2 linked regions of the Saccharomyces cerevisiae S288C genome follow. The gene in region 1 interacts genetically with each later gene. Each region holds a gene or a part of one and is shown in the gene's direction. Other genes may lie near its edges. The genes, in order: DSE4 and DPC29.

Region 1 (3,930 bases):
TGGAGACGGAATTGATTTGCTTAACAACGAACACAAAAGATTGCAAACCAGTGAGGTTCCACAGTGATTTACTTTTAAAGAAGCACAAATACAATGAAATTAAGAAAATATTTAAGGAAATTTTGGAAAACATTGAAGCATATCGCGATGAGTTCACTAAAAATCAAACAAAAATAAACTTACTTCTTGCCGATGACGCAAGAGCTAGCCTGCGTAATAGATCGCTCGATTTTTCTGATTTAATGCCTTCGAGTATAATTAAGGACGTACAGGTTTTAGCCAATATGGAAGCCAATGTTGTTGTCATGAAAAATGCGTTGAAAACGAAGTTGGTTGGAGAGAAAAGTGTGCCTGTTGCTTCTTCTCCTATATCCAGCATAATTCCTCGAACTTCTAGGAATAAAAAAACCTCCCCATCAAACTATCACCATTCGGTACTTTCACATCGGAAATCAAATGAATGGAATCAGGTCAGTTCAACTGAGTATAAGAGAACACTGTTATTGAATATAAAATATAATGATGATTTTAAAGCTACCATAGTGCCAAGTTTTGAAAGTTGTTTATGCTCGAGGTCATATTTCCTCCGCGTAAAACTTCATTTTGATAAAGGTGTTGGATCTGCTGAAATTGATATCCCAGTTCAAGTTAAAAACTCTTTTATTTGATAGATGGCTGTTAAAAAGAATGGTTTCACTGACGAAGTTTTTATCGCTATTGATATTACAGTATCATTACTGATAAACACCTTAGTTCTTGCAGAACTGAAAGTGATAAAGCAAGGAAACAGTGCGCAGTAGCAATCTCTTTTACGATTGTTCTGCGTTTGCCAAGGTATTCTCAAAATACTTTAAGTACTAAAAACCTAAATAATCTCTATACATAGAACTTTGAATTTTCATTGTTTAAAAAAATGTACGGAACTGCTAAGAAAATGTACAAGGTAGTGAAAGCCCACAGAGAGGTACATTTCAAGTGATAAACTTTGCTTTTTAGATTTGAAAATGTGAAATCTTACCACTCTTTAAAGCGACCATACTAGTAATAACGCAGGAATAGTACCACTAAATGGGTTGCCATCAATTTTATGCGCTGTAAGCTGCGCATATGTTTCCTACTTAAGGTTATAAGCATAGAACTGGCCTTTCCTTCAGCAAAAGAATAGAATAAGCCTGCTTGCCAAGAGAACTTGCTCGATAGCGGAGTGCTAGCTATTTTATGACCAATTTGGTATTTGCTGGCATATTTTTGAAAGATCTGGCTTTCTTTTCTTTTTTTCTCCCCTTTTTACCTGAACCTTGTTACCGAGTTCAGCTGCGCTAAGCTCTTTTCGGCTATATTTTGTTATGAAAGCCAGCAGAAAAGGCACGAAATCTCCCAATTTGGTTACCAAGGAAAAACTAGTTAATCATAAAGCTGAACCCAAAAAGTTAAAAATAAGAGCTGGGTATGAAAAGAGTAGCAAAGCATATACACCATACGAAGACTACAAGCGAGGGTAAAGGACTACATATAAATACTTGGTGCAATTTGTTTCAAAAATGAATATCAAGTATGTTTCTTGTGCTTGTTTCAACAAGTAGATAACCATAGTAACGGTCTGCATACAGAAAAGAAAACAAAAAAACAGCTAGTATGCAATTATATCTGACACTTCTTTTTCTATTAAGTTTCGTCGAATGTTCATATATAAGTTTCATATCGAATAATGCAGACGAAATATTGGAAACTGATTTAATTGAAACTTTATCTTACGCTACTTTGACAGTAGGTGAGCCTTATGTTGCACAATCGGTGGTTGTAACAAGAGTATCTGCAGCTTCTCATAGCCCTCTCTCAGTTTCGCCAAAAAATAGAGTGAGCGCATCTCCAATTAATTCACAAGACAGTGATTCTAATACAAGAACAGCAGTTCAACTGTCATTGTCGTTATCAAACTACGCAAGCCAAGTATCTCAAAAAATAAGCGCACAAACCAATAATGATCCTGTCACTGTTTCAAATATTTACGCAAATGATAATTCGAAAAGCAAAAGTTCAGTACACAATTTGAGTTCGGTTTCCGGCGTCGCCTCAGTCATGCCAAGTGCATCAACAATGCGTAAAGTCACCACATTATTATCTCAAACTGCTTCGACTTCGACTTCGACTTTATTTTCTTCATCTTTATCTATTTCGGGGACACAATTAAATGGAACTTTATTGACTTCTGTTTCAAAAGGTACAATCGATCCACTGGTAACTCAAATGCCTTCCTATTCTTCCCAAGAAACAAAAATTATTCCTTCTTCATTGACCTCGAATAAAACGATATATACTATTTCAGTAAGGACAAATGCAGCTACAGCTACCGGCGAAGATTCCTTCATTGCTTCAACTCCTGCTTCCTCGACTTTGTTCTATCCATCCAACTCAACCCAGGATTTAGTCCAGACGCTCGCATCTACAACAGCAAGCCCTGCTTACCCATCTAATAGGACACAAATCACTCTTTCTCCATCTGTATCACTATATTCGACAACTAGTCCAATTTACCCTTCAAACATTACAGAAAACGGTTCTTCACCATCACCATCACTATCATCGACTGTTAGTCCAGTTTATCCATCGAGTTCAACAGGAAACATTCTTTTGTCATCACTATTTTCAACAGTAGATTCTTCTTCCTCTCCGGTTTCTTCGACATTAGATACCATTTATGTATCTTCTTCAATGCAAGCTACCATCTCTTCGTCCTCATCTTCGAGACAAACAAAAACTTCCTCCTCTTCTCTGTCAACCTCGACCAGTAGCACCGCTACCACAACGGAGAACTCTTCAACAACGACCATTGTCAATCTTTTCAATGCTGTTTCGACAGATGAACCACCAACTGTTTTTGACAGATCACCAAATCCTATGTCATTGGCTGATGGGGTGTCAAACGATGGTCCCATTCAAACAAACAAGTTTTATACAAATTTGATTGTTGGTAGTCAGGAATCACCTGCCTTTGTGTATCCTTATTCATTGTGGAAGTACACCTCGAGTTCATATGGTTTTGCTGTTCAACATACAACAGTAGATCAATATAGCTACGGTGGTTATGACAGTTCCGGTAATGCAGAATATTTGGTCAATCCTTTGGGAATTGCTCATGTTGTTTTCTCAGCTTCGAATTTTGATTCAAGTATGACTATGCAAGTTGATGAAATGACCTTGTCTTCAACAAGGGTAGTGCTATCAGAATCCAATGATTCTTCGAACTACCTGGAAATACCTTTGGTTCAAGGTATGGGATTTGCAACTGGTATATATCATGGATCTTTAAATGCCAAGATTGGTTCCAGCGTCGGATTCAATACCATTGTTTCTGAATCATCAAGCAATTTAGCTCAGGGTATTCTCAAATATCGTATCACCCTTTTGAATGGAGTCACTTGGTTATGTTACGTGATAGGACCAGACGATTTAACCTCAACGGACTTTTCATTGGAGGTGAGCTCAGAATATGAAATTAAAGCAAGCGCTAGTGTTGATGGTCTTATCATTCAATTGGCCGTCGCACCTTCTGAAACTGATTACGAGGTCTTTTATGATCAAGCCGCAGGTATGTACGTTACTAATTTCAAGCTGCAGGGTGTCTCTGACGGTTCTACAGCTACCTATGAATTTTCTTATACCACCCAAGGTGAGTCGGCATCAGGTAGCACAATGATTTTTGCCTTGCCCCATCATGAATCTTCATTTAGTGATATAATGCAAGACTACTATACCGGCATTCAACTCGCTTCTACAACTAAGGGTGTAATGAACGGTTATCTAACAACGAGCCTACAATTTTCCACATCTCTAAACAGACAAATATCTTGGTTACCATGGTCTTCTCAACTTGGCTCAAACCTTTTAGAGTATTCTAAAGAACAATTGCAATTATTAGCTGAAGTTGCC
Region 2 (3,703 bases), on another chromosome or scaffold:
CAGAAATGATCCGTGCTTTGGTCGACCGTCCTGCCTTAGGTAACTTCCCATCTAAGGATTTAGACAAGATATTGAAGCAAATATTGAAATCTGCGCCAAAGGGTCAAGATCACGTCTGGTCAGGGCTTTCCGGTGCAGATGCCAATGAATTAGCGTTCAAGGCTGCCTTTATTTATTACCGTGCCAAACAAAGGGGCTATGATGCCGATTTTTCTGAAAAGGAAAACTTGTCTGTCATGGACAATGACGCCCCTGGCGCCCCTCATCTTGCCGTACTATCGTTCAAGAGAGCGTTCCACGGTAGATTGTTTGCCTCCGGTTCCACAACTTGTTCTAAACCAATTCACAAGTTGGATTTCCCAGCCTTCCACTGGCCTCATGCTGAGTATCCATCTTACCAATACCCATTAGATGAAAATTCTGATGCAAACCGTAAAGAGGATGACCATTGCTTGGCCATTGTTGAAGAATTAATCAAAACCTGGTCTATTCCAGTTGCTGCCTTAATCATCGAACCAATTCAATCTGAGGGAGGTGATAACCACGCTTCTAAGTATTTCTTACAAAAGCTAAGAGACATTACCTTGAAGTATAACGTTGTCTACATCATAGATGAAGTGCAAACAGGTGTCGGAGCCACCGGTAAGCTATGGTGTCATGAGTACGCCGATATTCAACCACCTGTGGATTTAGTGACCTTTTCCAAGAAATTCCAAAGTGCAGGATATTTCTTCCACGACCCTAAATTCATTCCAAACAAACCATACAGACAATTCAACACATGGTGTGGTGAACCTGCAAGAATGATCATTGCAGGTGCCATTGGACAGGAAATCTCCGACAAGAAGTTGACTGAACAATGTTCAAGAGTAGGTGATTATTTGTTCAAGAAATTGGAGGGTTTGCAGAAGAAATACCCTGAAAACTTTCAAAACTTGAGAGGTAAAGGAAGAGGCACATTCATTGCCTGGGATTTGCCTACTGGTGAGAAGAGAGACTTACTATTGAAGAAATTGAAGTTGAATGGTTGCAACGTTGGTGGATGTGCAGTCCATGCAGTGAGATTAAGACCTTCATTAACATTCGAGGAGAAGCATGCTGATATCTTTATTGAAGCATTAGCCAAATCAGTTAATGAATTATGATTGTATATTAGCGAGGCCGTGTCACGTTCCCTTTTTTGGTCTTTATATATGTGTATCTTGTTATAATTTTAAAGAAAAGTTTTATATTACTCATCAGTTGTGTGTGAAAAATATGGGCGGGTATTCACAATAGGAAAAAAAAAATGGGTTTGGTGACTGCAGTAAAGACGTGCTAAAAAAAAAAAAGTTGTTTTTATCTGAACCTTAAATATATCATTTATGAGTGTATATATTATACAAACGCAATAACAGTGGCTCCCGCCCTCCACCTCCGCCTGCTACTAGTAATCTACCAGTAATTGTGTTTGTTTTGGGAAAGATCGTTCGCTTACTCACCGAACAACTTTCTGACTCTCTTCAATACAGAGTCCTTTTCAGGGTCGTAGGGATGATCTTTAGATGGAATTTCTAAAATAGCAGGGAACGCATTGGTGAAGGAGTCCACTCTAGCTCTTATGTTTTCCGCGATATGTTGGTTGATTAGAAGGATGGCAATATCGTCTCTCTCTTCAGTAAAGTGATTAAACTTGTCAGTGATTTCCTCCTTAGTAGTCTTACCTTCTTGGTAAACAAAAAAGTTCTTTTCTTGGGTTTCAGGAGTGATTTGTCCAATCCCGGCTAACAATAAACCAGTTGTAGTATCTTCGTCAGCTATCACAGCTATAAGAGTACGTTTCTCAGCCATGATTTAGTTACTATGCGTCAGTGAGACTAGCTATGAATATAGAAATGTAGTGCTCTATTTTCTTAATTCTTTGTCAACTCGATATAATAAATGTAGTGCTTGCAATTCACGTTGGTTTTCCTGTTATCGTTCGCCTTTATTTTTTTTTTTTCTTTCGTTTTCCTACTTCCCTTTACCGGCGTAAGCGCAGTGAAATTTTTTTAGTACGCACGTACGCAAGTTTCAGCAGCAATAAGGGGAAAGATGATGATAATAACTAAGAAAAACAGCAAACTTGGTATGAACGCATCAAAAATTGGAAAATGTTGGTAAGAAATAGGTATCTGGGTGAACTGCTCAAAAACTCTCGATCGTTTAGTGTGCTGAATTCCTCGGTACGTTCAGGTCACAACAAATGGTCAACCATCAAGCACGGTAAAGCCAAGAATGATGCGGAACGAAACAAAATTAATAACAAGTTTGCAAACCAGATAGCAATGTCAGTCAAGTTAGGCAACGGTATTACGGATCCGAGCATGAATATAAGATTAGCCACCAGCATCGAGCTAGCAAATAAAAACAATGTCAGCAAAAAAGTTATTGAGAACGCCATCCGGAAAGCTTCTGGAAGCAGCGCATCGGGCAAGGACTCAAACGCTTCTGAGCTATGTGTATACGAGGGAATGGGGCCCGGCGGGGTCGCTATAGTGGTGGAAGCGCTGACAGACAACAAGAACAGGACCATAGGTCTGATAAGGAGTGCATTTAATAAAGCTAATGGATCGATGACTCCAACGTTGTTTTTCTTCGACAAAAAAGGATACGTTACAATGGTACCTCCGAAGATGTTAGACACTGAGGACAAGGTGCTAGAAAGCGTACTGGAGATTCAAGGCATCGAAGACATTGCGCCTGTGCAGGAAGACGCAGAAGATTTAGAGTGTGATACCGAAACTGAAACTACAGGCCAAACTTACGAGGCGGTGATGGAACCTGCCGATACCAATAAGGTGGCCGCCCTACTGAAGGAGCGTGGTTTCCACATCAGAGACTTGGGCATCGGCTACAATGCCAAGCCGGATATGGAAGTTTTCGTGCAAGGCGATGAAACGCTCGAGAAACTACAGAAACTGACCACAGCGCTCGAGGACATCGACGAAGTGACGTCGTTGTACACTAACGCTAGCAACGCTTAATCCAACCAAACCGTAAATAAATAATCAATACCACAAATACCTGTATATACTAAACAAACAGTAGTAATAACTGTAATAAAGAGTAAAAACAACAACAAAGACAATCGTACGTAAAAACACCAAGCGGACACCAGCACTTGCCTGCTGCGGACTGTTGTCTGCGGACTGGCGGGGGTCGAGCAAGAACCGACGAAGTAACCGACGGAAGGCGGGCGGAGACGGAGACGCAGCCGAGATCTATTTTTACTCAGCGGTAATATTAGATCATGGCTAGGGGGATCTGGAAGTACAATGATGTGCTCTCCCCCTCTCAAACACAACACCAGGATGAACTAAGGGCTCATCTCGAAAGTCGAAGGTGCCTCATTCAGGTTATTAGTGGTGCCTGTTGTGTCTTCCATGAACAAGGAGCACTTAATTACTTGTTGTTGCATGAGATATCATTTTTTTTTTTCCCTCTTTCTTGGGGTCTTGACAGTCATCAAATCGAAGTTTTTAGTTTTTCTTCTTCGGGAAGATCAATTTTAGGTAGAAAAGTGTAGATGAAAAACGAAGGATACTGCTATTTACTGTAAGTACTCTTCGGTCCATATTGGAAGACCAAGGCATAATAAGGATATATTCCGAGGAGATAATTGGGATATAATCCTCCATTGCTTCCGAAATTTGTTTAAACACTTCTAGTTCATTTCGGGTTG

The links.
Region 2: mutations in DSE4 (region 1) and DPC29 together harm fitness more than expected from each alone (negative genetic interaction), as found in Saccharomyces cerevisiae (2 studies listed by BioGRID).

The regions. Positions count from the first base shown.
Region 1 is NC_001146.8:756,805-760,734, reverse strand, and holds the start of DSE4 (endo-1,3(4)-beta-glucanase), read left to right. Parts: upstream 1-1,635; coding exon 1,636-3,930. Other genes in the region: YNR068C (uncharacterized protein), read left to right, coding at 1-668.
Region 2 is NC_001139.9:525,500-529,202, forward strand, and holds DPC29 (post-initiation translation factor DPC29), read left to right. Parts: upstream 1-2,132; coding exon 2,133-3,005; downstream 3,006-3,703. Other genes in the region: UGA1 (4-aminobutyrate transaminase), read left to right, coding at 1-1,145; VMA7 (H(+)-transporting V1 sector ATPase subunit F), read right to left, coding at 1,474-1,830.